7 separate regions of the Mus musculus genome follow, and all the other regions are reported to be linked to region 1. The links are microRNA targets in miRTarBase. Many come from high-throughput screens and were not tested one by one. Region 1 holds a microRNA gene; each other region holds the end of a gene's coding sequence.
Evidence for each region. The annotated mature microRNA mmu-miR-1981-5p reads GUAAAGGCUGGGCUUAGACGUGGC and lies in region 1 at 2,778-2,801, opposite strand. An mRNA with a match to its seed (bases 2 to 7 or 8) in the 3' UTR can be bound and repressed. Matches are read on the target gene's strand: a 7mer-m8 pairs with bases 2 to 8, a 7mer-A1 pairs with bases 2 to 7 and ends in A, and an 8mer does both.

Region 1 (4,348 bases):
TTACCTAGGTACCTTGGACTCACAACTCACGGGGAAAAAATTGCTCATGAAATCTCTGAATGGAACACCTTTCACCCACTGAGGTGACTGGCTTTCAGTGTCAATGACACAACCTAGAACCACCAAGGGAAAGAGTCTCGATGAGAGACTCTCTACACTGGGTTGGCCTGTGGGCTGATGTAGAAAGTCCCAGCCCAGTGCGGGTGTCACCATTCCCTAGCAGGGTGTCCTGCACTATCTGAGAGTGGAGAAAGCAAGCTGAGCACAAGCAAGTGGGCAAACAGGCATTCATTTCTCTGTTCACGACTCCAAGTGACGTGACTAACTGTTTTAGATTCTTGCCCCAACTTCCCCACAATGATGTACTGGATCCTGGAATTGGGAGCTGAAATAAACCTCTTTTTTGTTGTTGTTTTTGTTTTGTTTTGTTTTGTTTTTTTGAGACAGGGTTTCTCTGTGTAGCCCTGGCTGTCCTGGAACTCACTCTGTAGACCAGGCTGGCCTCGAACTCAGAAATCCGCCTGCCTCTGCCTCCCAAGTGCTGGGATTAAAGGTGTGTGCCACCACTGCCCGGCTTGAAATAAACCTCTTTCTCCCTTAACTTGCTTCCCTCAAGGCATCTTATTTTACCCGGGTGATGAAGACTAGAACATTTGCCAAAGCTCTGGGTTGACGCATTGGTTCCCAGTACTTTCAATTTCTCCAACATTAAGATCCAAACAAAAATTAAGGCAGTAATATCACTGACCAGTCAGATTGCTGATAAAAGTCCAAGGACTACTGAAGAAAAATTACCTTGACTGTATTTTAAAAAGCAGACACAAATGGAACTGAAAATCCAAAGGCCTCATGAAATAACGTTAGAAACACACAGCAAAACAGAAGAAAGGCAAACAAAACAACCAGCTACCCCTAAAAAATGCTGAATGGGGCCTTTTTGTCCTTTTATATTTTTTGAAATGTTTGAGGTGGAACCCGGGGCCTCTTAGAATATTAGAAATTGATGAGAGGGCCTGAGGATGCCTCTGTTGGTCATGTGTTTGCTGTGCAGGATTAAGGACCTGGAGTCACATCTCCAGCAGCCAGAAAAAGCCCAGTGGTACCCACCTCCAATCCTGGCACTGGGGAGGCAGGGACAGATGATCTCTGGAGCTCCCTGGCAAGTTCACTGGCCACTGAGAGAGAGGCCTTGTCTCAAACATAAACTGAAGTGCATCCTGGGTGGGCAGAGCCACAGCAGCCTGTGTGTCTTCAGCTTCTAGCTGTCCCTGCTTTCTAAGCTGGCGCTGCCCCAGCCACTCAACACTGCTTTGTGTCTCCACAGAAAGAGGCTCACACATCCCATGTCTAGTAACCCCACTGTACAGCTTCTACTGCCAGTATGACGTGCCTCTTTGACATCAGAGGGAACAAGGACCGAGTTCCGTATGCCTTGAGCCTGGCCCAGGCAGCTCCTAGTCACCTAGCATTTTCTGAAGACCTGGCCGCAGACAATCTGGACCAAGTTAAGACTATTATGACCACAGACTATGGATTTGGGTTAGAAATTGATGACACGGATGCAGAGAAGTGAATGTGCCCGTAAGGAATCATGTGTGACGCTTGAGATGAGAAAGACATGCAGGAAGGAACTGTGGAGACCTCTTCCTCACTCAGAGAACACATGTGTGTGCGTGTCTGAGAGTGAGAAGACAGCGGAGTGCTGGTAACAGAAGCTCTAAACTGCCTAGACGGTCTGCCCTTTGAAAATAAGTCTAATCGCTGGAGAGGTGGCTCAGGCTAAGAGCACTGACTGCTTGCTCTTCCAGAAGACAAGGGTTCAATTTCCAGCACCCACATGGCAACTCATAACTGTCTGTAACTCCAGCTCCAGAGGGTCAGACACCTTCAGGTAGACATACTTGCAGGCAAAACACCAATGCACATAAAATAAAAAATAAATAGATCATTTTCAAAAACAAGAAATTTCTATAAAACAAACTCAAAAGACAAACATGAAAAGCAGTCGATAAAGTCATTCAATGTAAACCTCTGCCCTACACACACATACACATAAACACACACACATACTATCACACACATACATACACAAACACATACACACAGACACACACAAACACATACACACATACACACACATTCACATACACACACGTATATACACACATACATACATACACACATACATACACACATTCATCCACACACAAATACACATATATACATGCATATACACACATATACATACGCACATACTCACACACAAACATACACATTCATTCACACACAAATACACACACATTTACTCACACACAAATACACGCACATACATGCATATACACACATACACACACCATCAACACACATATGCACACACACACACACACATATACAAACAAACACACACATACACACATCAGAAAAGAAGTTGGTGAGAGGTCAAAGTTCTAAAATAGGACATTGTACAACTAAAAATGTATCCGAATAGAGGATCCACCTAGAAAAATTAAAAATATGAAAAGAGGAAGAAACAGGGACTCACATCCTTGAGGGACAGATACAAATCAAAGGTGCCCCTGGGATAGCGCATAGACACCTGGTGCCTGACTGGTGATATCAACAACACGGGCGCACGCTGGTGTCCTACCTCTTCAGGGTCTCCAGTGGCTCCTTCCTGTCTATGATGCCGGTGTCTGGGTCCACTGTAGTCAGAACGCACCTGTCAAAGGCCAGGGTTAGATGGCGGTTACAAACGGAAGTGCATTCCACACCCAAAGGCCACGTCTAAGCCCAGCCTTTACCTGGGACAGCTCAACACCCTTTTCATCTCCACGTCACCAATCAGGAGTTCATCCCAAGTATCCTAGGAGAACAGGGAGAGGTGGCTTTAGAGCCTTGGTCAGGTACTACACATGACAGCAGCAGCAGGACTCTGAGAAGTCTGGAAAGTGCGAGAGAGAGAGAGAGAGAGAGAGAGAGAGAGAGAGAGAGAGAGGGAGAGAGAGAGAGAGAGGGAGGCACAGTCAAGCTCGGGACACATGGCTCACCTTAACTATTTTGCAGAACTGAGTATGGAACCCAATGCCTGTGCACAGGGGGCTAGGCAGCCAATCAGAGCACTGCCTCTCAGCGCCAGGCAGCCAATCAGAGCACTGCCTCTCAGCGCCAGGCATCTTCCTCTTGATTCACAACCTCAATCACTGATTCTGCCAGGTCAGCAAGAACAAGCCTTCCAAAATGCGCGCTTCCCAGCAGACTCCCCAGACGGCTTTCCACCACACAAAGAGAAACCCAGCCGACTCCCCGGACGGCTTTCCACCACACAAAGAGAAACCTGCAGCTCTCGAGACAAGTCTGCTCTCGCCCAAGGTTTAACTCAACCTGTGGGTCACGACCCATTTGGCAACCCTCTATCTCCAAAAATATTTGCATTACAATTCCCAACAGTAGCAAACATATTTACTGGAACAAAAGTAGCAACATGAAGTAGCAACAAAAATAATTTTCTGATTGGGAGTCACCAGGACACTCAGAGCTGCAGTTACAAATGTTTGTGAGATGGATGCCTGCCTTGTTACCCAGGTGCCAGGATCCAAATGTGTAATCCTTATGATTACACAACACTTTTAACCACATATTCTTCTCCCCAGACACCAAGTCACCTTTTGTCCGAGTTGGTAGAATCTATAAATTATATGTATACATATAAGGGCATATATACAGATCATGGGGTTATATCCTACAGGTGCCTAAGTATCTTCAATCAGGGGTTGAATGCCAACACACTGAATGGGACAAGGAGCAGCAGGCTGTGAGAGTGTGACAAGACAGAGAATACGTGACCAAGCAGAGGGAGGGAGGGAGGGAGGGAGGGAGGGAGGGAGGAAGGGAGGGAGGGAGGGAGGGAGAGAGAGAGAGAGAGAGAGAGAGAGAGAGAGAGAGATCAGCTTCGGTGAGTTTGCAGATCCCTCAGCCCCAGATCCTGTCTCTAACCTGGAAACAGATTCATGTATCAGCATGATCTCCTGCATCCACTTTGTCACGTGTCTGCACGTGACATCATCCAGATGTCAGAGGATCCTGTCTTGGTGTCTTTACAGCACCTTAAGGTCTGTAGCTATACATTTAATATCACACAGTCACATGCTTACATAGAGCTACATAAAGATTATGGTCCCTCTTATTAATTAAAAAGTGATTTAGGAGCTTGGCAGGATGCCCCACGACTGTAATTCCAGACCTTGGGGGATATGGGCACAGATCTGGGAATTCCATGACTCGGGTTATCCCCACAGCCTAGGCTACAGCCTAGGTCCATCTCTTGAAGGTTTGTGACTGATCTACTGAG
Region 2 (4,348 bases), not on the chromosome of region 1:
GGAGTGGGAGCCCATGAGGGTTCGTGGGCTCCCTTCCATGCAGCCCAGCAGGGACCCATTCCTGAGATGGAGAGGACCAGCTCCACAAGGGGTTCCTGGAACCTCCGTGCTCCTGCCTCACATACACACAGAACATACACATAGAACATACACACACACAGAACATACAGAACATACACACAATATTCTTGTTTTTATTTTGGATTTTTTTCAAATTAGCGATTTTAAAATTTGTTGTTTCCTTCTAATTCCAGTAAATCTGACACTGGATCTACCCTAGATCCACTTTGTAATTTCTCACAGACTTATAAGTTGTAGTTTCTCGTGTGAAGACTCTGAGCTTTATTTACATGCTCTCCTCCCACAGGAAGGCACGGCCCCTCATCTAAAGGTTGGAGAGTTCCTTACAGCTTACCAGTCAGAGTTTTGGTTGAAAAGCTTTTATTTAGTGTTGTTTGCATTCATACATTGGAGTGCCCTAGATGATTTTGTGGCTGTGTGTGGCTGTGTGTGTCTGCGTGTGTGTCTGCCACACTTGACTTAGGGAAACCTTGCTTTTACTCTGCTCTGAGTAGAAGGCAGGTGGTTTTCTGATGACACGGTTTGAGGTATCTGGTCTCCAGTATCTCTTCTGGGAAGGGTAAGAGAGTTGGGATGAGGGACTAGCTGAGAAACAGTTCCCAGTTAATAAACAAAGGCCTCTCCCTGTTCTTGTTTTTGTTGTATGTGTCCAGGATTTAGAAGAATTCTGCTTTAAGTTTTGCATCAATCATTTGACAGAAGTTACCCAGACGGCTGCGTTCTGGCAAATGGATGGTCCCCTGCTAAAGGAGTTCATTGCTAAAGCCAGTAAATGTGGAGCCTTTAAGAACTGAAGCCAAGGCTGCTGGGCTAGGTGTGAGAGCTCTGGGGCACTGTGGGTGCGGTGATCTGCAGGTAAAGCCCCACACCATAGACAGTGCTCTGTAGGAATATATGAAGGATATTTGCTTCTTGTGAGTCCATTTCTTACAACTCTGTGTCTAGATATGTATGTTTTACATGTATGTTTTACATGTGTTTTTCTTACATTTGACTGAGCTTTGGGAAAGGATGAAAGTTTACATGCTTTTGTTCTTTTAATTTTGATGAGAGGATGTTTTGAGCTTGTATTAAGAAAGCCAGGAAAATATCCCTAGACCTTTGGCCACAAGCCTTTCCACATGGTCTGTGGCAGACAGGCCCTGCCCAGTGCTCCCTGAGTGCTGCTCACTGTCACCAACCTCCTGTGGGGGCATCAGCACTGTGGGGGTCTCTTAAGAAATAGTCTTAATATGCATTAAACCCACTTAAGCAGTCAAGAAATACTAGGTTTGCTGAGATGCTCTTAAGGGACAGGCACCTAGGGCTGGAAAGATGGCTCAGCAGGTAAAGGCTCTTATTACTAAGCCTGATGACTTAACTTGAATCCCCAGAATCCACATGGTGGAGAGAGCTGACTTATAAGTTGTCCCTTACTGCTACACATGTACCATGTCTGCACAAAGACACAATAAAGGAGAAAGAAGAAGAACTAAAAGATTTAGGTCCCTATAGAGAAGTGACAAGAAGTACCTATGAGAAGCTGATGGTAAAAGAGCTTTGCTTGGAGAGGAGAGTGTTACAAAAATTAGGGTTCCCCGCACCCCAATTATCCAACAGTGCTTCACTAAGGTTGTGTTTGAGACCAGCGTGCACACTACCATCCCCCTCTCCCTATAATTACTCACAAACACATTCTACATGGCTGCTCTTTTCTGACTTGATGTGATTGTTAAAGCCACCCTTCTTACAGGACTCCATAGAATGCTCACTGTTTTCGGTGGTGGGAGGAGTCCAGGCCAAAATCCATCAAAACTTAATTGAAACTTCACCTTAACCTCTCCAGTTTTGGTTGATTTTTTTTTTCTTTCTATAATTGTGTTAGGAATACATTTGTCATACGTTCAGCTAGGGCTCCCTATTCATGCCTTTCCCGAAAAGGTCATTTGTAAAATACTAGGCCAGGGTGGATGGTGACTGAGGCACCAAAGACAGGCAGGCATGTGTGTTGACAAACAAGATAAATAGGAACAAGAGCTCAAAGCCCCTCTTCCTGATCATGTTACAGCTGTTGCCTGGTGCATGGGTAAGTGACAACTGCCTCCTAGGTGGCAGTTTTCCTGGCCAAGATGATGAGTGCACATTAATCTGAACTGCTGTAGTGAATGGACCTTCTGTAGAACCTCAGTCCTGTAGACTTAGGGCCTCAAAGCAGAAACTTTAGAACATTTACTGGTGGTCTTACTTGAAAAACTTACCCACGAAAAAGCACAAATTACACCTGCAAATCCACACCCGTAGACAGTTCACCTGACAAAAACGTGCTGAGTTCCTGATCCAGCTGAAGACACACTTTTAGCTTGCTGAACAGCTAGGGTGTTTTTGTGTGTGTGTGTGTGTGTGTGTGTGTGTGTGTGTGTGTGTGTGTGTGTGTGTGTGTGTTAGTGAAAGAAAAGTCCTTTAAAAAGGGTTTGCAAATTTTTTTTAAATGCAATCTTTTTATTTTTCTACTTGGTTTTGGTTATAATCATAGAAAGCAAGAAACTATTATTGAAATTAATGTTTTCTTCTGATATAATAATGGAAGCCAGAGAAGTCACATTTCTTAAAAGATCCCAAACTGTATCCTTGAAGTTACTGGAACCAGTTTTATACTTCAGTAATTAGGATGCATTTATGTAATTTCTTGATTGACATGCTAATAAACAACCTCTGAAGGCACACTTGTACAGTTGTGGTTGTTTTCTCTTTAGTAGTATGCAGTCTGAACAAAGGGAGGAACTTGATGAATATGTGGACTTCAGTCAGAAAAGATAACCCCCTACAAAAGAGCAAGTAATGTGTGATCCTGAAGGAGAGTGGGTGCCAGGAGCTGGGAGAGGACACAGATGGTAAATGTGTAGTTTCTGTGTCACAAGGTGAAGTAGTTTAGAATGAGTAATAGTTTTGGCTATATTTTAAACTACTGAACTATATATTTTAAGAGTTGATATGGAGAAAGAATAAACAAAACTGAAAAGTTAGCAACCACTATCCTTGTGAGACATACCAGTTGTTGTGAGAACTGGACTAACAACCAATAATCTAATGGAATATTTGCAGAATTTTTGAACTAGCTTTGTACATGAGAGGGTGCATGTGCCATGACAGTCTTGTGGCGGTGACAGGAGAGCTGGTAAAAGTTAGTTCAGCTGTGTGGGTTCTGGCAAAACACTCAAGTTAATCAGATTGGTGACAAGTGCTGACCGTCTCACCAGCATTTATTTTCATATAATGGAACCAAATGGATTGGACTCAACAAACAATTGTTCTGAAGATGTTTTCTGTACAATACGGAAAAACATGAAATGTTAGCTCACCTAGAAAACAGTACAATAAACATGAATGATCATGAACCTGGCTCTAGGTCTGAAAAAAAAAATGCACCATTGAATGAGGATCCCTAACATTTACACCCACAGTGCCCTCTGCTGTGCCCTGAGCCACCATACACTTCCTTATAGAGAGTTCATGGCTGTGAGGATTTGGCTCATTTTTCAGTAATAACACAGGAGGTTTCTTTTAGCAGTTTGCCCAATATATGCCTACATTGTAAACATCAAACAACTGGTGCTTTTGTGCCGTATAATCTACTGAGATGAACAGATTCCAGCTGTATGTAAAGCAGCAGAGGAAGCACTAACATAAAAGGGTCCCAGCTGGTTCTGACGGGTGCTCAGATGGCAGTCATTCCAGTTGATCCCTCCTGAAGTGGCTTAGGCAGGCCTTGGTACCCACAGTATTATACCAGGAGTGATTCACAAGTGTGTGAGAACACATTACAAACAAGATACCATGCTGGGACACAGCTCAATCCCATTCTGTCAGGCACATTACTGTGACCCAGAGGATCATGGGAGGAAATGAGAAATGTGGATGTGAGAGGAGTCAAGGGTCAGGGGCAGTGTGGGTACACAGATCTGATGCATACTGTCAGGTGGGGAAAGTCTTAGTGCTCCACATCCCCTATTCTCCCTAATGGTGCTTGAGTCAAAGAGCCCAGATTCAAAAGCTTGGTCTTGAACATGAAGCATGCCCTTGAAATGACTGTGGCCAAAAGGACACTTCTAAAAAGATTCTGATGAAGCCCCACAAATTAGTAAACACGGAAGAGTGCATTGTGTCTTGTTACAGCCGAGAGCTGCCTGGGACTGTATTAAATAAACGGTGCACTCTTCAGTGGTTTTGACAAGCATTTATTAAGTGTGCTAAATATTGGCAATGTGGTAGTGAGCAGAAACCCAGGGTA
Region 3 (4,348 bases), not on the chromosome of region 1:
TTGAGATAACGAGGTGGTTAGGTACAGTTATCCTCTGCAGTTAGCATCTATTCCTTTAAAAGAAGGAAGGAAATTAAACTCAACATGTGCTCTAAGGATGTAAACAAAAGCCACCTACAAAGAAACCTGCTCCCTCTAGTTACCAAGGCTCTGAAATGCCACTCACAATAGCTTACTGCTAGCACCCCATTTCCTGGGTGTCTCAGAAGAGCGCTGCAAACAGAAGAATCCACAGCAGACGGATCCTCAACCTCACACGCCTCCTCCCTGTGCTCCCACAACACTCTCTACACACTAGATCATCCCTGATGCTCAGATCCCTGGAGCAGACAGTGCTAGCAGTCAAGGTTAACTTCAAAATGGTTATTTTTGCCTATAAACCTCTAATATTCAATTTTGTTAAATGTGATTTGGAGAATTATGTTTTCAGTCTATTTTGAGCCAAAAATGATTCTATACCTCTGAAACACTGCAACAAATTATCCCACTAATCAAGGTAACCAGAACCATGTTAACTGCCAAGCTCTTTCCAGGTTAAAAATGCATGTTTTCTTCATGATCACTAATCAGGAAACCTATTCTCAACAGTTATTCAAAAGTGTACTTGGCACCTGTACAATAAGGCAAGCAATTCTACGTTACCCATCACCTACCCCAATCCCTCTCTGAGTGCTTATTCCTCTCCCACTTTGGTGTAAGCAGGCCTCAAACTTGAGAAATTGCCAAGGATGACTCTCGCCGTCTGACCTCTTGCCTCCCTCGCCCAGTTCTGGGACTGTAGACATGTACTATCACATCCTGTCTATAAGACGTTTAAATATTGTTTTTTGCAGTCCTGGGGATTGAACCCAGGACCTCATAAAAAGACATACAAGGGACTACAGTACAAGACATCCTGGACTATATAGTCTCTGTGGTCCATGTTGCCCTAGAGTACATCTCACTGTATTGCCTAGAAGTCTCATCTGAGACCCCCAGTGATCCTCTGAGTGGGGATTACAGGCACGAGGCACAATGCTCAGGTGTCTAATTTTTGTGGTTTTTGAGACAGGTTCACACAATGTAGTTCAGGCTGGCCTTGCACTCATGTCAACCCTCCTCCTATAGCTCTTGACTGCTAACAGGCATGAGTACCGTGCCCAGCTATACAAACACAAACACACACTTCATGCTAGAGAGACCTGCCCCAACCCTTCCTCAAAAGCCTAGCACTGAAAATGTTTCAAGTGTCTGAGCAAGGGGAATGTGGAGTAAGGGAGAGGGGAGGTCAGCAATGGGCCTGGGGTGGCTCCTTGCTGTGGCAGTGATACCTGCTCCCTTTGTCACCTGAGCACTACAGGGCACAGACTCCATGGCCACACTAACAGAAGCAGCAATGCACTCACACTAAATCAACAGGGGCAAACCTCCCCAGCCTGGTCAGTCTGCCACACTGCTTTGTGTTTGACAGAGTGCTCAGTGCTACAGAAAGCACCAGTGTCCCACATGACACAGAAAATTTGGCCAAATTTTATATAATTTAAAGAGTTTTAGGCTTGACTTTATATAAATAGATGTTTGGATGAAAGATGTTGTTACAATGACAAATAAAAATTAATTTAAAAACTTTTGAAAGTGATCCTCCTGCTTGCAGGTTTATAAAGTCCAGCCAATATATAGTTTCCATCTCAAGACCAGAGACTCAGAGCCCAGAAGCCTCTCTCTGGAAGCACAGCCTGGAGGGTGCTGCTCTGCACATAGCTTCTACCCATCAGCAGCACAGCTTCTCTCCTGAGTTTAAGTCTGCTGTCAACGGTTTTCTTCCCTGCACTTCTGCCCTCCTCTCGCTGTGTACATACAGTGTCAAAGGACGAACCCAGGGCTTCCTTGCAAGCTAAGCACCACGTTCTACCACTGAACTATGTCCTCAGGGAGTCCTTGTTAGGGTCTGAGTAATCCTGCTAGGCTGGAACTGACCCTGTGGGCCAGGCTAGTTAGAATCCCAAGGACCTGCTTGCCTCTGCTCCCCAAGTGCAGGGATGAGAGCCCGTCACTGCTCCATCTGGTCATTTCCGGGTTTTTGCTGTTATTTTGAGAAAGATCTCACTGAAGCCAAAGCTGATCTTTAACTTACAGTGGTCTTCCGTCTCACCTCCCAAGTGCTGGGATTATAGGCTGTGCCACTATGCCTATTTTTTTTTTTATACTGTATCTAAGCAATGGACACAATTTATCAGGTATTCCTAAGTCAGCCCTTCTTTGCTAATTTTTCTCTATTTTTGAGGCAGTGTCTCTGTATAGCCCTGGCTATACCAGAACTCTTTGTAGACTAGGCTGGCCTCAAACTTAGAGATCCTCCTGCCTCTACCTCCTGAGTGCTACAATTAGAGGTGCACACCATGACACTTGATTTTTCTCTTGCACTAAGATCCCACACTGTAGCCTAGGCTGACCTGTAACTCACAATGGAGTTCAAGCTGGCTTTAAACTCGTAATCTTTCTGTTTCAGGTTCCCAAAGTGTGAACCACTGCATTCAACTAGTTTAATTTTTTTGTTATTAATTTAAAACTCTTTCATTGATATGTATATATAAATGTATGTGTGTGGATATACACACATGCCAGAAAAGGGCATGATCCCTGGGAGCTGGATGGACATGTAATTGTGAGCAGCTTGACTCGGGTGCTAGGAATGGAACCCAGGTTCTCTGGAAGAGCAAGCACCACTTCTCCACCCCAGCTGTGCTCTGCTATATGTGAAGACAGGGTCCCACTGTGTAGCCTTGCCTGGCCTGGAACTTGGTACGTAGACCACATGGCCTTGAACTCAACAGAGATCTGCCTGTGTCTACTTCCCGAGTGCTGGAACTCAAGGCATGTGTCACCACATCTGGCCCTCTTTTATTGAAGGACTCTCTTTAGCTCAGGCTGACCTCAAATAACTTCCTGTTGCAGCTTCCTGAGTGCTGACATCACAGGTGTGTACTACCACGCCTGGCTTAGGGACTTCTTTTCAGTAGGTTAACTAGGGAGAACTTGTGTGCCTGCTCTTTACAACTGTATGCTATCCTTTACTTTTCCTCAAGAGGAGGCTTCCTACAACTGCATCAATCTCATAAATCTAAGGCATATTTTCAGGCCACTTGAAAAATTTCAGGTGTAACTATTAAAGGCTCTTGGTGTATATGTATTACAAGTACTATCTTAAAATCTTTCGATATAAAGCTAACTATTAAAAAAGAAATTCAACCTACAATGCCCAGTACTCTGTTTAAAGCAACGATATGAGCTGAGAGATTTGGTCCTGGTCCTTTGGTCCCTCAGATGCCCCTAAAGTGGCTCTGAGTTTTCCAGCTGCACACACAGCCTTCCTAGGCTCAGGCCTTGAGCCCGGCTATTGTTACCCTCTTAAGGACATTCTAATTTGTATGCAGTACCTGCAGTCTATACTTTCTTCTTACAAAGAATATGATGAGTGAGCACAAGTTGTAGCCGTTGGTGTTAGGATGAAATAGTTTCTATGGAAACGTTAGTGTGAGGCTCCGTGGTCCTTCCTGACTTCATGACTTGTGTTGCTCTTTCTACCTCGTCCCCTTCTGTCACCACTACAGCATCCACTTCAGCTACTTCCTCAACTACGGTGACATCAACTTCAACTCCGTTGGTCTGCTGCTGAGCCATAGCCTCCAGCCTGAGCCGATACTGCTCGGCCTCCTGCTCTTTCTTGAGGAGCTGGTGTCTGTACTCCTGGGCTCTTCGGTTGGCCTCCTGGAGCTGTTGCTGCAGTAGCTCTCTTTCACTGCCTTCCTGTAAAGCAATCAGCGGCAACACAGTAAGAATCCCGAGTATGAACTTCCCAGATGAAGACGGAAAAATGAAGAGGGCGTCAGCCCTAACCACCATGGTGTCCATGCCCTCCTCCTCCTCTGCTCACCATGGTGTCCATGCCTTCCTCCTCCTCTGCTCACTGGTAAGCATTCATTACCTTCATTTCCTCAACCCTGTTTGTCATCTCTGCCATCCTTGGTCTCTTCACCAATGGCAATTTCTCTTCTTCCTCTTCTTCATCTTCAATTATTGTCTCCTCTGCAACCTGACCAGCAGGCACAGTTAGAACTACAAGCCAAAGCACATCAATGGGAGAAAATGAGCACACAATATACAAAGGAGGCTTGTTTGATTTTAAGTAGAGAAAAGTGAATTTAATATTATACATTGGGTATGGATTCTTTTATGGGCAGGCAAGTGTTCTACCACCAAGCCACACCCCATTTCCCCTGACATGTTTTCTATGATCTCTCTTTAGTGTTTGCAGTCTCCAATCACACCGCATTTCCTAGTACACTGTCTGTGATATCTCTTTAACGTA
Region 4 (4,348 bases), not on the chromosome of region 1:
TACCTCGATACAATGTTGCAATGTTCATTGCCACTGTCGGAACCTGATCTTCCTACTCTTCTCAGTTCTGAAAGGTGCCTTGATTTGCATGGAGATTTTCATATTCACTCTACTTTTACATTTTTACAAAAAGAGCTACATCTTTTCATTTGATATATTTTTTTTCTTCCCAGGAGAAAGATCCTCAACATTCCTCGAACGCCACACATCATGCTGATAAAATTCCTTTCCTTGAGTCGCTGGGTTTACCCAGGTAAAGCAAAGTCAGCATTTGTCTTGTGCTATGGGAAAATGCAGCAGTGGGGGCTATGGGCAGAATCCCTTGCTCTCTTCTCTGGGACTTACAAAAATACCCCAGGACTCACCCAGGCTTTGCTGATGGAGAGCATTTGAAAGAGCGTTACTCTTCCGAATAATGAGAAGTGTCAGTGTCATTAAGCTGACGAATAGGATCTTATGATTTTATTGCCATGCAGGGTACCTGGAGTTTCCTGGTAGCTTTCTTCAGTAGTTTCCTTCTCTCTAACAAGGGTCTGGAAATGATAAGTCCTATCTGAATCCCAGAAAAGCGGACTATGAATGTCTGCGGGTACTTGTCTTAGTCCTTCCTCTCTAACAATATTATCCACATGGTAGATTCATTTTGTTTACTTTGGGACTATTTGTTATATATGAAACCTCGGACCATTTTTGCTGGAATTTCCTTTCCCTGCTTCATTTAAAAGTCCCTGTTCTCAACCCATATGGAAGAGGTAGGCATTGGGTGGAACAGTGTGATACATTTTTAGGGTGTCCAGTCGATGGGCGTTTCAGAGATGATAATGAAAATTGTCTTTACTCCATGTTTCTTTCCTTTTCTGTTTCTCTTTCTGTCTTGCTTCAGTCCTCCAAGAACTCCAGTGAAAGTCGTGCCTCAAATTAGAATCGAACGTGAGCCTGAAGACAACGATTATCTTTGGAGGAGCAAGGGAACAGAAACCACGTTGTAACCTGTTTGTCCTTCTCAAAACTGACACTTCTGTTGTTAACTGTTCTAATTTTTTTTTGTCTATGTATTTTAAAATCTTTTGTTTGGTCACTGGCTGAATAATAGTCACTCTCTCTGCTTCTCTCTTGCATAGGTAAAAATCAAGACAATAGTGTCCCTTGCCTTTAAAAAAAAAAAAAAGAAGCATTTGAGGGTCACACGCTTGTTTTCATACATTCAGATGTGTCCTCCGACATGTAAATCCCTTTGTCACTCAAGACACACAGAAACCGCCCTTGTCAAGCAGAGATCAAATGTGACGAGAATTTTTGTATCACCTTTTATGAAACTATTGAAAGAACTTACAACCTAAGCTTGGAGCTTGGCTTGGTTCTGTCTGGCAGAGCAGCCCTTGACCTCCAGACAGAGTCCCTTCCTGCTTACAGAATCCCCAAGACTGGAAAAGTGCTGCTACCAACCTGCCCTTGCTCGCCAACCCTGATCTTAGAGTTATCAAAAGCAGAAAACACTAAAGGTACTTCGCTCCCTGTAGAGAAACCTTTGCCATCATTGTAGCAAGTGCTGGAATGTCCCTTTTCCTATGCAACTTTTTTTAACCCTTTAATGAACTTATCTGTTGAGTACATCGAAGAATATTTTTCTTCCTAGATTTTGTTGTTTAAATTATGGGGCCTAACCTGCAACTTATTTTTTGTCAATTTTTTAAACTTTTTTTTAATTACTGTAAAGAAAATGAATTTTTTTCCTGCAGCAGGAAACATAGTTTTGAGTAGTTCTACCTCTTACCTGTAGCTGCCAGGCTTTCTGTAAAAATTGTATTGTATATAATGTGATTTTTACACACATGCGTGCACGTGAGCACGTACACACACACACACACACACACACACACACACACACACACACACCAATCTAGGGTAAGCCAGAAGGCTAGAACAAATTAAAAGAAAAACAAAACACCATGCTTCTAAGAATCTGTTGGGTTGTTGGGTTGTTCCCCTCTCCCCTTTTTTCAAAATAAATGTAGCTGTTTTGTGAAGGAATCTGGGGAGCAGAGAGAAATGTGTGCAGGGGGAATAACTTCTGCTGTGGTAATGACTGTGCTGGGAACAGATGCTGGCATGTTACATGTCGACATCCTATGCAGTATTGTTAGGGATTTCCTCATTTTAATAATTTGTGTCTTTGTGTAAGAACTCTGTGTGTGGTTGTTGCACACCTGTGCAAAGCCAGATAAGTGACAGTAGCCAGAGGGCAAAGCTGTCACGCTCCTTGTGTCCATTTTCATAAAATCCAAAACCACTCATAAGAACTTTGTCAGGGGCCAAGAAATGTATCGTGGACATTCAGGTGAAGATATCTTACTACTCAGACATCAGTCAGCATCCCAGATACAAGAGTCTAGAGCTACAATACAAAAGCCATATGAATATTATCAGCTCTGTGGTGTTACACATCTGTAACATGGTATAGGAATGCACATAGATCTGCAAGGAAAGTTTAAAGTGTTCATTTACATGCCCTCATAGGATAGGATTATTAGACCACATGTATGTGTGTGTATCTGTGTGCTTCAATAGACCGAGTTGAAAATTAGACTTTCCTTAGCCAAATTGATGTGGCATTTGATTCCAATATTTTTAGTAAGCTGCGTTATATGCGGATTATATATTGAGATAATAGTTTGGATGTGGAATTCATATTTTTGGATTTGTATAGCAACAGTTGTGATACACATTCACTGGGAGAGATTGCTGGGAGCATTGGAGAAGCAGAAGGGAACCACCTACTATGACTGGGTCTGTGGTTGGCTCTTACAGACTCCCACTTTCTTACAGGAACGAAAATGTAACCCCGCTCTCCTGAAATCTTGATCAGAGTTGTATTATCCTGCTAGATGTTACTTCCATGGCATTTGTTCATCTTGAAACTTTAGATTTTAGAGTATTTAGGCATGAACGACCCCAAGGGTTTTTTGTTGTTGTTATTGAAGTCATAGCAGCAAATTACATGTCATTTGTTACCATCTCAAATGATACATTTTTACATTGCATTTGTTCTGAGGGTTATCCTGAAAATGGTTGTTGTGCATTTTCTGGTTTTCTATTAAACCGTGTAAGGAATCTTACCTTTTTAGGGATAAACACATCAGTAAAATGTTAAAAGCATGCATTGTAAATGCAGTCCAATCTTGATGTTGAATCAAAGACACTTGGTTTACTTTTATAAAATCTCTGGATATATATAATATATATAAATAATTTTTAATTATGAATCAAGTCTATATAGGGACTCATGACCCTCCTCTTACTTTTCAGAGAGCTCCTGGAGTTAGTCACGTCAGTCCTTGAGTAGATCCTGAAGTTATCTCACCCCATGTATGGTCCCTAGTCTGTGACTGGGGTGGATGTTAGTATTCATGGACTGAACATAGAGCCATACCTGACATTTGCTTGAGGAGTAGGTAACAACGAGTGTTCTCATTACCACCTGAGTTCCCACACTAACAAGCAGAACTCCAAATCTCCATGGATGCCCCGCAGTATCTGAATCTGGCTGAATTTGCTCATTGGCCGATAACTAAGCAGATTTCATGGTGGTTTGTTTCTATGCAAACTGGACACAAATACAGCAATGAATTCTTTATAATGCCTTTCTACCCTTCCTCCCTGGATGTGAATTTGGAGATAAGTGTTTCTTGAAGCAAAGACTCAGAGTTGTTGGCCAGGAGTACTGTGGTAGTGCAAACTGGCTGGGAGAGAGATGTGCAGGCTGAGCCTGCTTGTCGAAGCATCAAGGCCTCCAGTTTGCCGAGATGCTGAGATGCTGGTCCTGTCCTACTGTGTGCAGAAACTACTAATGGTTTTGTATATCAGAGGCGGTATTGTTTCAGCCTCTCCTGATAAAGCCGTGGGGTGGGGCTGGGAAGTACTCTTTTGAGAAGACACAAACCAGACCTTCCTTCTTGTCCCCCACCTAAGAGAAAGGGCTGTCTGTTGTCAGTAATCTGGCTTATGTGCATTTTGGGCACATGTAACAACACACACAGAGTAAATCCTTTGTCAGTCACGTGTTGCTGTTTAATATAGCAAATGATTGTCTTCCATGTTTTTGTTTCTTTTATTTTAACTGTGTTGAAGTACTTGAAATGTATTGACTGCTGAGAATCTTTAAAAAAAAAAAACATTTGAGTTATACTACAGAGGTTGGCATTGATCAGGAATGGGACAAAGTTTTCTTCAATCTTCTTTTTTTTTCCATACCACTTCACGATTTTGGTGCAAGGACCTGAGATTTTCTTCTTTATATTCTGTGATGTTTCCCATCTGCTCTCACAGCAGGAGCATGAAGCCCAGTTGG
Region 5 (4,348 bases), not on the chromosome of region 1:
AATGAGCTAAGCAACGTAGTGTTTCTTTTTTATTGTATAAAATGGGCTGGATGCTTATCTTAATGTATTGCTTGTGTGTATGTGTATGTTTTGTAAGTATTCATGATAGTGTGTACATGTTGGGGGCCACAGGAGGATGTTAGTATATCACTTGCCTTGATACAGGGTCTCTCATTGGATCTGGAGGTAGCCAGCAAGCTACACTGATGCTCCTGTTTTTGTCTGGGTAAGAGGTGCTGGCCGCCACTGTGGCTTTTCCATTGTTTCTGAAGTTCAAACTCAGGTCGTCATGCTTTCACAACAAGAGCTATTACTTTTCCAACCATTTATTCAGTCCACTGTTAGTGAAAATTATGTTTGTTTGTTTCTCCAGCCTCTGTTCCAAGCCTAACCCATCTTTGTCGTTTGGAAATTCGGGCCAGTCTAAAAGCAGAGCACCTTCACTCTGACATTTTCATCCATCAGTTGCCACTTCCCAGAAGTCTGCAGAACTATTTGCTCTATGAAGAGGTTTTAAGAATGAATGAGATTCTAGAACCAGCAGCTAATCAGGATGGAGAAACCAGCAAGGCCACCTGACACAGGTCCTTTAATTCTGTTTAGTCACAAAAGACGGCTTGTGTGACTGTTTGGATTTGGTGATCAAATGTCCATGTTTACAGTTGCTTTTCCCAGTTTGTGTCTTTCCCAATATTGTGAACCTTATCCATCTTGCCTTACTCAGTTTTATTTCTAGTGCACTTTGTTGTGTATTATTTGTTTACCTGACCATTTTCTACTTTATTCTGCTAATAAACTGTAATTCTGATGTGGTGCTGGATGTGACTTCTTTCTACTTAGGATTCATGTTCACCTGTGCTAGAATCTAAGGATAGAATCCATAAATTTCCCCAGAAGAATTTATAACATCTGTCCTTTTGAATTATATTTCATTATTATTTTACTTAGGGATGAATATCTTCAATGTTTATTAAGAGGAAACTTTCCTCCATGTTATAATCTGTTCTCAGTCCTTAATTCAAACATTTTTGTGAGGTGTTGATACTCTTGCATTTTCACATGTAAAATCAGGAGTCCTTTAAAAAAAAAAAAAAGAACATAAAAAGTCAGTCATATTGTTGATCTCTCGCCCCCTAGGTTCATTCTTTCTTTATACTTTTGGCAAAAGATACCTGATTTTTAGTTTGCAAAGACAAGAACACATCTAAACTCAAAGTCATACACAGCATAAACTATTTTATGTCATCTTTAGAAGTATTTTACTGCACTTAGAATATTAATAAAGAAACCTGAAAAGGACATTCATACAGCACTATCTATAGGGAAAGAATGCACACTTTATTAATTTAATGCTAAATATAATAGCCAGGCTTCATTCAGCTCCAGAATAAGAGAGCAGCTTTGTTCCTGTTAGTCACCAATAGTCAATTATATCACATCAATATAATGTTTTTCTTAATGTCTGGATGTATTTTCAGATCGTGGATGAAATATGGACCTCAGAATACTACTGCCTTGTGAATTTTTACAACTATTTTATTTAAACCTCGAGTCAAGAAAAATCAAACATGATCAAATCAGTTATTTAGGGAATTGGAAACTAGCCTTAAGAAGGTACTAGAGTGTTGCTGTCAATATAGACAGAACAGGCTGGTTTCTAAAGGAGGCAAGCCTTCATCTCTTGCCAGCAACCTGAGACTGGGTAGATCAGCTGGTCGCATTTTGATAAGCCCTTGAAAGAAGCATAATGTCTTACTGATAACTGATTGGGAAGACAAGCTCATCTTTACATTCAAGTCTTGTTTTGTGAGGATATAAAGTTAGGTATTGAAAAGTAGGCAGAAATTCTGATAGTTCTGGTTAATAAAGATATTCCAAACTTTTAAAATTTTATTTTTAAAATAATGTGACTTTTATTTTTCAAACTCTGTATCAGGTTTTGTTTTTGCTTATGGCCAAGTGTATATAGAGTGCTTTAAAAGAGTTTACCTTTTAATGTATTTTGTTCATGTCCAAATGTATTATAAAACCCTGATTTCCCATAAGTTATTATTGTGGTTTTCTTTTTGAAGCTCTGAAAGTCAATACAGATAGCCCCTGGCTGATGAGTTTTTGACTTTATAGTAGTGGAAAGGTGACCAGCATCTCATAGAAACTGCACTTTGAAGCTTGATCGTCTCCTAAGGCAGCAATACATAGTATGAGATTCTCTTGGATTCTGATGATGCTGAGCAGTGATAATGAGTTGTGACACCTGGCCAGCCATGTGACTGGAGGGTGACTGTAGAGGGCATTAGTACTCATAGTTAAGTACTGGAGAAACCAAGAACATTAAACACATTGGCTTATATCTTCAGTGGGTGGATGTGTATACCTGTTTTTCCAGGCACATGTAATTGTGTCAGGAGTTACATGTGGGTAAAACTGATACCAGGAGGTCCATTACTTAGGTCTTCATGGGACTTGAAGCAGTTATTTGAAAACTCCTGCATTCTGATGAGAGCCAGTGGGGGCCTCAGGCATCTCAGGAACACATTCCCTTTGGGAGGAGGCAGTGTTTCTTAGTTAAATATGGTCATATTTGACAACTTGCACACACTAGCATAGTAATTTTATAATCATGCTATTTCCATTTTTCTTGCCTTTTAAAAAGAAATTTCTAAACAAACAACTACAAGGAAAACTTAGTAACTCTGACATTACAGGTTTGGTTTTTTGTTTTGTTTTGTTTTTTTGGTTTGTTTTCTCTCTTTTGTTCTCACCTACAAGGCCCAATTGCTGGGTTTTTGTTTTCAATCTATCATTTTTACTGCTTTATTAAATGACAAATGATTGTTGGTGCATAATGTCTTGCAGCAAATAAACAATTATTTTGTCCAATGAAATCCTACCATTTTAATTAGATGGAACTGTGCATGCTTTTTTTTTTCTGTAACATATGGTACAGCCTCAACTGAATTAACATCAGTGGTTCACTATGAGGTCAGCATATGTTTATATTTTTAATGAAGAATTACTTTGAATAAGTTGTGTGTAGATTTTAAATGATATTGTGGAGTTGCTTTGGTGAATAATGTGTTAATTGAAGGACATTTATTAACTGGTTACTATGCTAATCTTTTAACAAATCCTCCTGGAAATAAGGGTAATGATATTTAAGTATTTGATATGAAAAGAAAATATAGGATATTAATAAATTAAAGGTGGAGGCAGGAGGATCATAAATTCGAGGCTATGCTCGAGTACATAGCCAGTTAGAGGCTAGCCTAGGATATGGATGAGTCCTCAAAAAATAATGTGTGTCTGTGTCTGTAAGAGAGAGAGAATCTTTTCACACACACATCCATACATACATACATACATACATACATACATACATACATACATACATACATACATACATACACTGACCTCCCCATACAGAAGAAAGAAAGGAAGATGTAACTCATCCTCCCGTCCAGGTCCATTAGTTTGTCTTTGAGGTTTTTATGGTTTCAATCTATGCAGAAAGTTAAGGAATTTAAAAATATGTATACTTAAAATTAACCAATTTCACATTTTTTTTCTTGGTCCATTCTTTTTTTTTTTTAAATCATTGCAGTGAAACCTTCAGCCAAGCTAAAGTCAAGTGCTTATAGACTTCTGAAGCAGTGAGAATGAGAGAAAGAAAGAAAAAAAACTGTGTCTGCTAATTCTTTGTCTAAGGTTACCCGAAGAAAGGGAAAAAACCCAGCCTCATATTTATATAAAGAATATGGAATTGTAGGTAATACCTGATGGACGTTCTCTAGCCATGTGGTCTCTGTCCAAGGTAACCACGCAACTGCATATTTTGTGCACCACTCCAGTATATGTGCATTTATGATGGCTTTTTCTTAATGGGGGGGGGGTGTTGAAATGGTCTTACTGTAGCTAATGCTGCTCTGGAACTATAGCTCTGGTTGGCCTGGAACTCACTCCACCTACATCCCCTGCAAGCTGGGATTACAGATGTGAGTCATGGCATCTGGGTTTATAAAGTAACTTAAATTGGTACAACTAGTAAATACTGGTGTGATTTCTTTGTGTCTTGGCTGATTTTTACTGCTCAGCATGAACTGATGAAACAGAGCAGGTAGGAATTGCCATTCGTACACCAAGACCTCGAAGATATCTGCTTATGCCCCTTTTATCATCAAATGGTTTGTATATCTTCTTCACTACTTTCCTGTGTAGATAATAAAAATTTATCTGAAGTCATTATAAGGTACTAATTTACAATCTTTGTCTAACATAATGAAATCATGAAAGTTCAGCTGTCAATGGGTTTGAACTGAACAGTTGAAAAGAGAGGATATTTCAAACGTTA
Region 6 (4,348 bases), not on the chromosome of region 1:
CCTGGCCATCGCAGTGTTCGTCTTGAGGATGAAGGTCAAGAAGCCGGCCGTGGTGTACATGCTGCACCTGGCCATGGCCGACGTGCTCTTCGTGTCGGTGCTCCCCTTCAAGATCAGCTACTACTTCTCCGGCACTGATTGGCAGTTCGGGTCTGGAATGTGCCGCTTCGCCACCGCAGCGTTTTACGGGAACATGTACGCCTCCATCATGCTCATGACGGTCATAAGCATTGACCGGTTCCTGGCGGTGGTGTATCCGATCCAGTCCCTGTCCTGGCGCACTCTGGGCCGAGCCAACTTCACTTGCGTGGTCATTTGGGTGATGGCCATCATGGGGGTGGTGCCCCTTCTCCTCAAGGAGCAGACCACCCGAGTTCCGGGACTCAACATCACCACCTGCCACGACGTCCTCAGTGAGAACCTGATGCAAGGCTTTTACTCGTACTACTTCTCGGCCTTCTCCGCCATCTTCTTTCTTGTGCCGTTGATCGTTTCCACGGTCTGCTACACGTCCATCATCCGGTGCCTGAGCTCCTCCGCGGTTGCCAACCGGAGCAAGAAGTCGCGGGCTTTGTTCCTGTCTGCCGCGGTGTTCTGCATCTTCATCGTCTGCTTTGGGCCCACCAACGTCCTCCTGATTGTGCACTACCTTTTCCTCTCCGACAGTCCTGGTACAGAGGCAGCCTACTTTGCTTACCTCCTCTGCGTCTGTGTGAGCAGCGTGAGCTGCTGCATCGATCCGTTGATTTACTACTACGCCTCCTCCGAGTGCCAGAGGCACCTCTACAGCATCTTGTGCTGCAAAGAAAGCTCTGATCCCAACAGTTGCAACAGCACCGGCCAGCTGATGCCGAGTAAAATGGATACCTGCTCTAGTCACCTGAATAACAGCATATACAAAAAGCTATTAGCTTAGGGAAAGGGTTGCTGGAAGGTTCCATGAGAAAAGGTTGGAAAGCCAACAGCGGGGAATCCCATTAGTCCCTGCAAAGAACTGTATTTACTTCGAAACCTAAAAAACAACCAATATCCGATATGCACGAATACTTCTGCTATCAAGAGTCTAGATTGGATAATTACCAGCAAGGTGACGGGAACGGAAATAAAGGTGTCCAGTGTTGCTAGTGCTATGATAGTAACTGGATGTCACTTCTTATATATCTAGGTGACTTTAATATATAGATGGTATGCACACACTCATTTGTCATGCAGGAGGGAATCTGCACTTTGACACATTTTTGTTTATTCCCTGGCCGTTACTATGGAAATAATCTGATTCTCTGACTTAATAAACAAAGTCTGAGTTGGTGGGTGTTAGCACTGGGCAGCTGGAGATCCTAATGATAGGGGAGGAGTCCGTAGTTTAGACTTAACACAGCTTTTGCCTATATTTTTTTTCAAATTATTTGATAATAATGGTTAGTGATGGAAGGATGAGACAGTATTACCTGTGTAGGGGAAGCTCTAATACTTTTCATCTTGAACATACCGTAGTTTTAAGAATTATCAAGGCTGTTGGAAAACCCGTTTTGATATGGGTAGCATTTTTTTTTTAACTTGCAATTTACTTACTGAATACATGGACCAAGACTGAGCATAAGACTCACCAGGACTGTAATAAACCTTACAAAGCAGCCAAGCCTAGACACAGCCATCTGCATGGAGGCCTCTGAGCACCAGGTACATCACACCCCTTCGGCTATGCCTCCCAGAGAGCAGAGATGGATGGGAAGCACCAGGCCCACCCCATCCTGCTAGGATTCTCATTAGCTGTGAGCTGACTGTGTCTTTTAGAAATTGGCAAGGTAAGGTATGCCATCTTGGGAGGCAGTAACTATGAAAGACTGACGAGAGGAGAAAGGTGTGTTTACATCCAGTAGCTGTCCTGCAAGGCTGGCCCTTGCACAGACAGACACACCCACATGCCCTGGTCACACTGTTGGATAGTGGGCCATAGACTGACTATAGGAGAATAACCGAGTCCTGTCCTTACTCAGGCAACGCAGAGAGCTGGCATGTGGTCAGCTATGATGCACATAGAACTTGTCTTCAGCTGGATGTGACCAAGTGTATTTCACATAAGCAAGGCCTATCAGCTAAACTGCTTTGCATATCTGAGTTTCTGCTTCCAGTAGCTATAGATTAGGATAAAAACACAGTATAAGATGTATATTTTTAATACATATGCCCTTCAGCCTACAAAATTACACACTATTTATTTACAAATGTTTTTTCAAAAATTACTCAAATCAGCCAGGCATTATGGTATACACCTTTAATCCCAGAACTTGGGAGGCAGAGGCAGGCAGATCTTAAACAATTTTTTTTTTAAGAAACAAGCAAACACAAAAAGTTTTACTTAAGTCCAATTTTAAGAAATATATAGGTCAGTTTGGTTAAAAATAATAGTAATGAAAGGAAATTTCATTGATTGAAATTTATTCTGTATTTTTCTTGAGTTATTGAGATTATTTGTAAAGCATTTTTAATGCCACAGTGACTAACAAGCATATAAAATCTTCATACCTTTGACAAAATAATTTGAAAATTAATTTAAAACATATCCTTTTTCTGATGAAAAAATATGTTGGCATTTTAAGCAAATAAGAGTAGAAAGGTTGTTTATTTAAGAGAACAAAGTATTTCCAAATACTGTAGAGTCGCTTCCACGAAAGTCCTATGGTTGTATGGTTAACTTGGTTCCGGTGTTGGCTGATCTCAATTACTGACTCCCTGTCCCGTGTTCTGTCTGTGACTTAATGTAACTGTTATCACCGCGCTTGTGACCTTTTACGTCATTGTTTTGTGTTCACCCTCTTTTTTAAAAAAAAATATATTAATAAACTAAAACCATGCTTGGTGTCTGGAATAGATTGTTCCTGTGGGCCCCGGTGGGAGTGCACAGCACTCTTTAGTGATGTAATGGGTGCTTTACAGTTCTGTAGCTAGAGTGAAAGGGTCAGCGGTGGATGAGGAAGCTCCCCAGAGGCTACAGGTTAGGGATACCGCTCACCAGCCAGGGACAGGGCGAGGATGACAGTGAGGGGCTAATCCCTGCTACATGATTCTCCCACCCCTTGCTGGTGCTTCCCATTGTGTGAGTGTGTGTGTGTGTGGTTAAATCTGTGTTTCCATACCTGTATGTAGGGGCACCGTCATCTTTATCCCACCTCCTACCCCCCCAACCCCTCCCTCACCTTCTGACCACACCACAGACACTCCCTCTAAATTCCACAGGTGAGAAGACTGTTCCTGGGCTCAGCTACAGAACCAAATGGAGAGAGCACCAGGGTGACATCCCTCGTAGGTCAGCTTCCCTGGGCCTGGAGAAGGGATCTAGCATAGTAAGTGGAGAGACGAATACAGCGCAGCGCGTACAGCGTGGTTTTTGAAAGGCGTTCGTTAGCTGGTTATCTTCCCATTTTTCAATCCCCTTTTTGGAAAATTGATTACAACGTTGAAAATAGACGGGTTTCCCAACTTACAAGCTTTGTGAATTACATCTACAGTTCTGTTTTAGGAAGAGACAGACGTGTCTGAGGGGGGCACTGGGCATTTGTGGGGCCTGTCAACCCTGTATTCAGGGTGAGGCAGGGGGATTGCACATTCCCAGCAAGCCTGATAGAGGGTGGCAGTAAACAGGGACAGCAATGCCACCTCTTGGGCATGAATGACCATCCTGTGCCGTGTAGCACTCCCTGAGGGGAGGAGGTGAAGCCAAATGGTGCTCAACCCCTGAGAATTGAAAAATCAATAAAAAGGTTTTAGTACAGTGTATCTAGACTCACGGTCAGTTTTTTTAAAAATTACTTCATCTAAATAAGCATTCTGTTAGCACAAAGAGTTGTCAACGTGGTTTTCCTAAGCCATACACACAGTATGTGAACCAGGGGGGGGTCACCTCAGCTGGGACCCCCAGCACAAGGACCCTGCCTCTAGTCAGAAAGCAATCTTAAACTCTCCTATTACAACTTTTCGAAATGCATTTGAGCTCAAATAACACACTTGAATTTTATCAACAACAACAACAACACATGTTGTGCTTTTCGCCTCCAAGTCAAAAGCAACATTTTTGGGAGGAAACGGATCGTTCGTTTGGCTGTTGAATATGCAGCTGGAAACTTTTAGGTTGCATTTCATTTGAGGAACTTGGGGTAGCAGAATCTCCTCCTTGAGGAAGGCCTGAGTTCCAGAAGCCAGTGGAAAGCATTAAACCTGCTTTGTGAGCCAGCCTTTTCCATCCCGAGGCCCAGGGCTTCCACACACACAGCTTCTCTTCACAAAGGGCCATGGGAAAATGAAGGAGCCCATTACACAAATGTAGGAAACCCTCAAACAATAACTCAAG
Region 7 (4,000 bases), not on the chromosome of region 1:
TTGTCTCTGCTTCACTGACTACTCCCAGGACTTTCCCAACTCCCTCCCGTTAGCCCCACACCTTCCTGTCCTTTATCAATGAACTGGATTCAGAAAATAACACACACACACACAAACTCTTCAAAAAGAACATAAAACTTTATTAGGATCTTACACTGTCATCAGATACAGCCAAAGAAAAGGGTTTATAAAAGATGGAGTATCCTTTTTCCATGTGCTCTTGACACGGCAGACTAGATGGCAACAGATGCTGTGTATACACAAATCCATTAAGTAACCCAGTGTTCCCTTCTGTACAGAGAAGAACTGAATTCACACCGTCAAAAGCTTTTTCTAGCACAACTGAGAAGCAGGGCTCATCTCTAGGAGGAACTCCTAATAGCTAGTACAATTAATAGCTAGTGTCGGGCTTTTGCATGACTTCAGAGTGGGGACTGAGGAAGGCCCTCCTACCTCCCAGTCACTGTCCTCTCCAGACTCCAGACCAGTTCATGAACCACACACCACAAAGCTACTCACAGCAGTGACAGCAGACAACATCCTCTGAACTGTGAAAATCATGAAGGGTGGATCATCGTAGTTTTTGTTAATGCTACGGGATTTCTTACAGAGAAACCCTGATTCAGAACGCTGTGAGCAGCTATCACAGCAGCTACAGGCAGGACGGCCTTCCTCGGGGAAGGCCGGCTACAGAGCTCAGCTCCTCTCCAGACTCCCCGCTCCCCTACGGCTCATTTACTTACTGTAGTATTGTAGGAGCAGAGGGAGCACCGGGAATCTGCTCAAATTGCCACTCCGACAGCTCTCTGCACTGTTTGTGGAAAAAAGAGGAATGGTGTCCATTCACAGCACAGGACCTTGCTACAATGTGACATACTTTCCCTTGAGGGCCAGACCAGGTTGCTCTCATACTTGTAATTTGCCTCCGGTACATGGGAGAGAAAATGTGCATGATTTACAGCTTGGTATTTTATACCCCTCACCTAGGCCCATTTCTTTTTTTCTTTTTCTTACTGCAGAGTCTCACTCATGTAACTAATGGCATTGATCTCACTCTACAGACCAGGCTGGCCTTCACAGAGATCCTCCTGCCTCTGCCTCCCAAGTACTGAAATTAAAGGCATGAACCACCACACCTGGTTTAAGCCCATTAAGTTTAGTCTTCCTTTCAGAAAGGAACATTAACGACTGTAAGGCTGAAAAACTTACTTCTAGAACAAACTGTACAGTCTGTTCAATTAGTGAGCTAACCAACAACTTGTGGTTTGGGGATTCGGGTTTTGAGTACTAGCATTTATCACAGATCTCATCACGCTCTTTAAAAAAATAATACATTTTATCATAAATATTTAGATCAGATAGTGGCATCAAAAGAGTATCTAAGTCTGTCTTCATGGTGAAAATATTTCAGGAAACTTCTAAAAGAGTTTATATCTTCCCAAGAGTATACCATTTATAAGTTAGTTTTAAATGGAAAAGTATCTAGTTTAGATGGATAAATCACTGTGTCAGCAAATCATAAATAAGTTTAAGATACTGAAAATAAGTTAACACACAAAGCTTTTGCTTTCCAAAACAACAAAAACTTACTTGGCATACTTTCAAAACAGGCATAATCAGGGTATGTAATGTGCATCTCCTTTGCTGACTCTTTCTTAGATCACTACCCCTAAGGAAAGGATAGCAGCACTGGCAGCCACCCCAGTGTGAAGGTCTGGCTGCTGCACACAAACCCTTATTTGACAGACAAACGCTGCTCAGGATGTGCGAGAGCCACTTGTCAGCTCATTACAAGCATATCCGAGGTCCAGTGGTTTGGGCTTCCAGTTGAGCTTCAGCGGTGTGCACAGAGAACAGCTATAGCTTCTGTGAGGAAATGTGTCCTAATTCCCAAAAGTTGTCATTGGAAGATAGAACATTCATGGGACGGGGTGATGCCATACATGTAACTCTGTTTTGGAGAAAGGCCAGTGTTTAAAGCACTGTTCCCAAATCTACTGGCTATTAAAGAAAATTACCTGTCATTTCTTCACATGGAAATTCATTTCAACTATATCCTCTAATACTGAGAAAGAAACAGTGAAGCCATTCAGAGTAGTGAGTATAACTGGCCTGTGAAATCTAAAAGGTGTCCTACAAACTATTCACTTGGACTCCGATTACATGAGAAATGCAAAGCAATAAAGGAGAAAAACATCTCCCTCTGCCATCATGAAACACAAACCTGCAGCTTCACAGTGGAACTTAAGAGAAAGCTGGAGAGCATGCACCTGCTCTAACACACCAGGTTCAAGTACAGATAAAGGTACATTTGCTGTGTATTTACACCTGTAAACAGACAAATATAAAACTCACCACATCTACCCTGTAGTACAGCATTGCTTAATTCCAAAATATAATCATTCAAAAACATTACAGAAATAAACTGTTTCGGGCTGCGTAATTGAGCACTATGGGTACTGAGTTGTTGAGCTGCTCAGGCTAAGAGCTACGTTTACATGACATGGGCAGGGATTAAGCACTGGGACTGTGTCGCTGCCTGGTGTTCCCTTTACACCCCACAGCTGGTGTTTTGTTAAAGGGATCTGATGTAAGAAGACTGACGACAGAAGCAGTCAGCTGGAGAGCTGGAGTTGTGCTCATTAGGACAGCAGAACTTACAACATTCGTAAAGCATTAACTGCACTTAGTCTAAATAGTGCGATCCAGGGAGTGTCTAGTTAACAGACCTTCGATCCTGGGATGGCATTTGAGATGGAACTACTATAGTACTACCGGGGAACCTTCTCTAGGCTTTATTTGACCCTGCACGGCATCCATGTCTAGTGTTAAACTCGAAAGGCATGAGGACACACAGAACCAGTATTTGGGTGGCAAGAGTAAGGTGAAGTTGAAACATTTAGTCTCTTCTATAATCAAGCTCTAACGATCCCATAAACAGTCTCACATCAGCTCCTGATCAGTTCTTCCCATTAGGAATTAGATAGTGTACAGTGATTAGATACTGAAAAAAAATAAAGAAAAGTAATTGAAAATACATGAAGAAATAGAAACATGGAATTTCTCACAAGGCCTTGGATCAAAAAAAAAACTTACAAAAGATTTTTTTGAAAATAATCATTAAGTTCATTAATACACAGAAATCATCACTTGGTTTTAACTAAGTCATGTTAACTCACTAATAAAATAGCAAAACAAACCAACATTTTAACATTTTATACTTCCTTGTCATTTCTTATGTTAGTACCATTCTCAACAATGTACAAAAATAACTCTACAGGACTATTCACCTAACCTGTCTCCATGTCTGCCAAAGTCCTGGCCCTGGAGGAGACTGGCCATCAGTCTTCACTGTAGATGTCCCCCGCAAAGGGCAGGTGCATGTGACTGCCAGTGACATTGGGCAAACGAGATAAATCTGGCAGGCTCTGGATCCGGGCTCTTAGTTCTTTGCGTACCAGGGAAACTCGGGCTAACTTGCGCTTGTATTCCTGCAACAACAAACCACTCGTTAGCTTTCATGTTGAAAAAGCAGTCTAGCTTTCTGCTGATTCTCTGCAGAATTTTGTATTATTCAGCCACTGGCAAATAAATGATCATTCCATTGTGAGTTTGAGTCAAATGGGCTACAGAGGTAGTAGAGAGCAGTAAAAGTACATAATAGCCATGCAATTAAATATCACGATGTGTGTCTTTTCTATTTTTGTTGTTGTGTTTTGTTTTTTTTGAGACAGGGTTTCTCTGTGTAGCCCTGGCTGTCCTGGAACTCACTCTGTAGACCAGGCTGGCCTCGAACTCAGAAAATCGCCTGCCTCTGCCTCCCAAGAGCTGGGATTAAAGGTGTGTACCACCACCACCCGGCTAGTGTGTATTTTCTTTTTTTTTTTTTTTTTTTCCATTTTTTATTAGGTATTTAGCTCATTTACATTTCCAATGCTATACCAAAAGTCCCCCATATCCACCCACCCCCACTCCCCTGCCCACCTACTCCCCCTTTTTG

Region 2: miRTarBase lists Rcbtb1 as a target of mmu-miR-1981-5p. Seed matches in the 3' UTR shown: 7mer-A1 at 2,518-2,524.
Region 3: the mRNA of Gabpb2 is a reported target of mmu-miR-1981-5p. Seed matches in the 3' UTR shown: 8mer at 3,146-3,153.
Region 4: miRTarBase lists Slc4a4 as a target of mmu-miR-1981-5p. Seed matches in the 3' UTR shown: 8mer at 1,149-1,156 and 7mer-A1 at 1,586-1,592.
Region 5: miRTarBase lists Asb3 as a target of mmu-miR-1981-5p. Seed matches in the 3' UTR shown: 7mer-A1 at 587-593 and 7mer-A1 at 1,076-1,082.
Region 6: miRTarBase lists F2r as a target of mmu-miR-1981-5p. Seed matches in the 3' UTR shown: 7mer-A1 at 2,273-2,279.
Region 7: the mRNA of Rprd1a is a reported target of mmu-miR-1981-5p. Seed matches in the 3' UTR shown: 7mer-A1 at 2,576-2,582 and 8mer at 1,115-1,122.

What each region holds. Positions count from the first base shown.
Region 1 is chr1:184,819,688-184,824,035 of GRCm38, forward strand. Mir1981 (microRNA 1981) reads right to left here and starts at 2,801; the gene lies at 2,720-2,801. Mtarc2 (mitochondrial amidoxime reducing component 2) reads right to left here. Exons shown (of 8, transcript NM_133684.4): 5 at 2,802-2,863; 6 at 2,648-2,719.
Region 2 is chr14:59,234,485-59,238,832 of GRCm38, forward strand. Rcbtb1 (regulator of chromosome condensation (RCC1) and BTB (POZ) domain containing protein 1) reads left to right here. Exons shown (of 12, transcript NM_027764.2): 12 at 735-2,781. The coding sequence ends at 875. It also overlaps the pseudogene Phf11. Among named protein-coding and RNA genes, the nearest start is that of Rcbtb1, 35 kb to the left of the region's middle.
Region 3 is chr3:95,185,190-95,189,537 of GRCm38, forward strand. It overlaps Gabpb2 (GA repeat binding protein, beta 2), which reads right to left. Exons shown (of 10, transcript NM_029885.1): 9 at 3,965-4,095; 10 at 1-3,786. The coding sequence ends at 3,481. Among named protein-coding and RNA genes, the nearest start is that of Sema6c, 23 kb to the left of the region's middle.
Region 4 is chr5:89,234,624-89,238,971 of GRCm38, forward strand. Slc4a4 (solute carrier family 4 (anion exchanger), member 4) reads left to right here. Exons shown (of 27, transcript NM_001359211.1): 26 at 174-253; 27 at 884-4,348. The coding sequence ends at 217. Among named protein-coding and RNA genes, the nearest start is that of Gm35855, 11 kb to the left of the region's middle.
Region 5 is chr11:31,100,664-31,105,011 of GRCm38, forward strand. It overlaps Asb3 (ankyrin repeat and SOCS box-containing 3), which reads left to right. Exons shown (of 10, transcript NM_023906.3): 10 at 374-2,041. The coding sequence ends at 579. Among named protein-coding and RNA genes, the nearest start is that of Gm40822, 67 kb to the right of the region's middle.
Region 6 is chr13:95,600,301-95,604,648 of GRCm38, reverse strand. F2r (coagulation factor II (thrombin) receptor) reads left to right here. Exons shown (of 2, transcript NM_010169.4): 2 at 1-2,869. The coding sequence ends at 916. Among named protein-coding and RNA genes, the nearest start is that of F2r, 16 kb to the left of the region's middle.
Region 7 is chr18:24,484,841-24,488,840 of GRCm38, forward strand. It overlaps Rprd1a (regulation of nuclear pre-mRNA domain containing 1A), which reads right to left. Exons shown (of 7, transcript NM_144861.2): 7 at 122-3,491. The coding sequence ends at 3,342. Among named protein-coding and RNA genes, the nearest start is that of 2700062C07Rik, 16 kb to the left of the region's middle.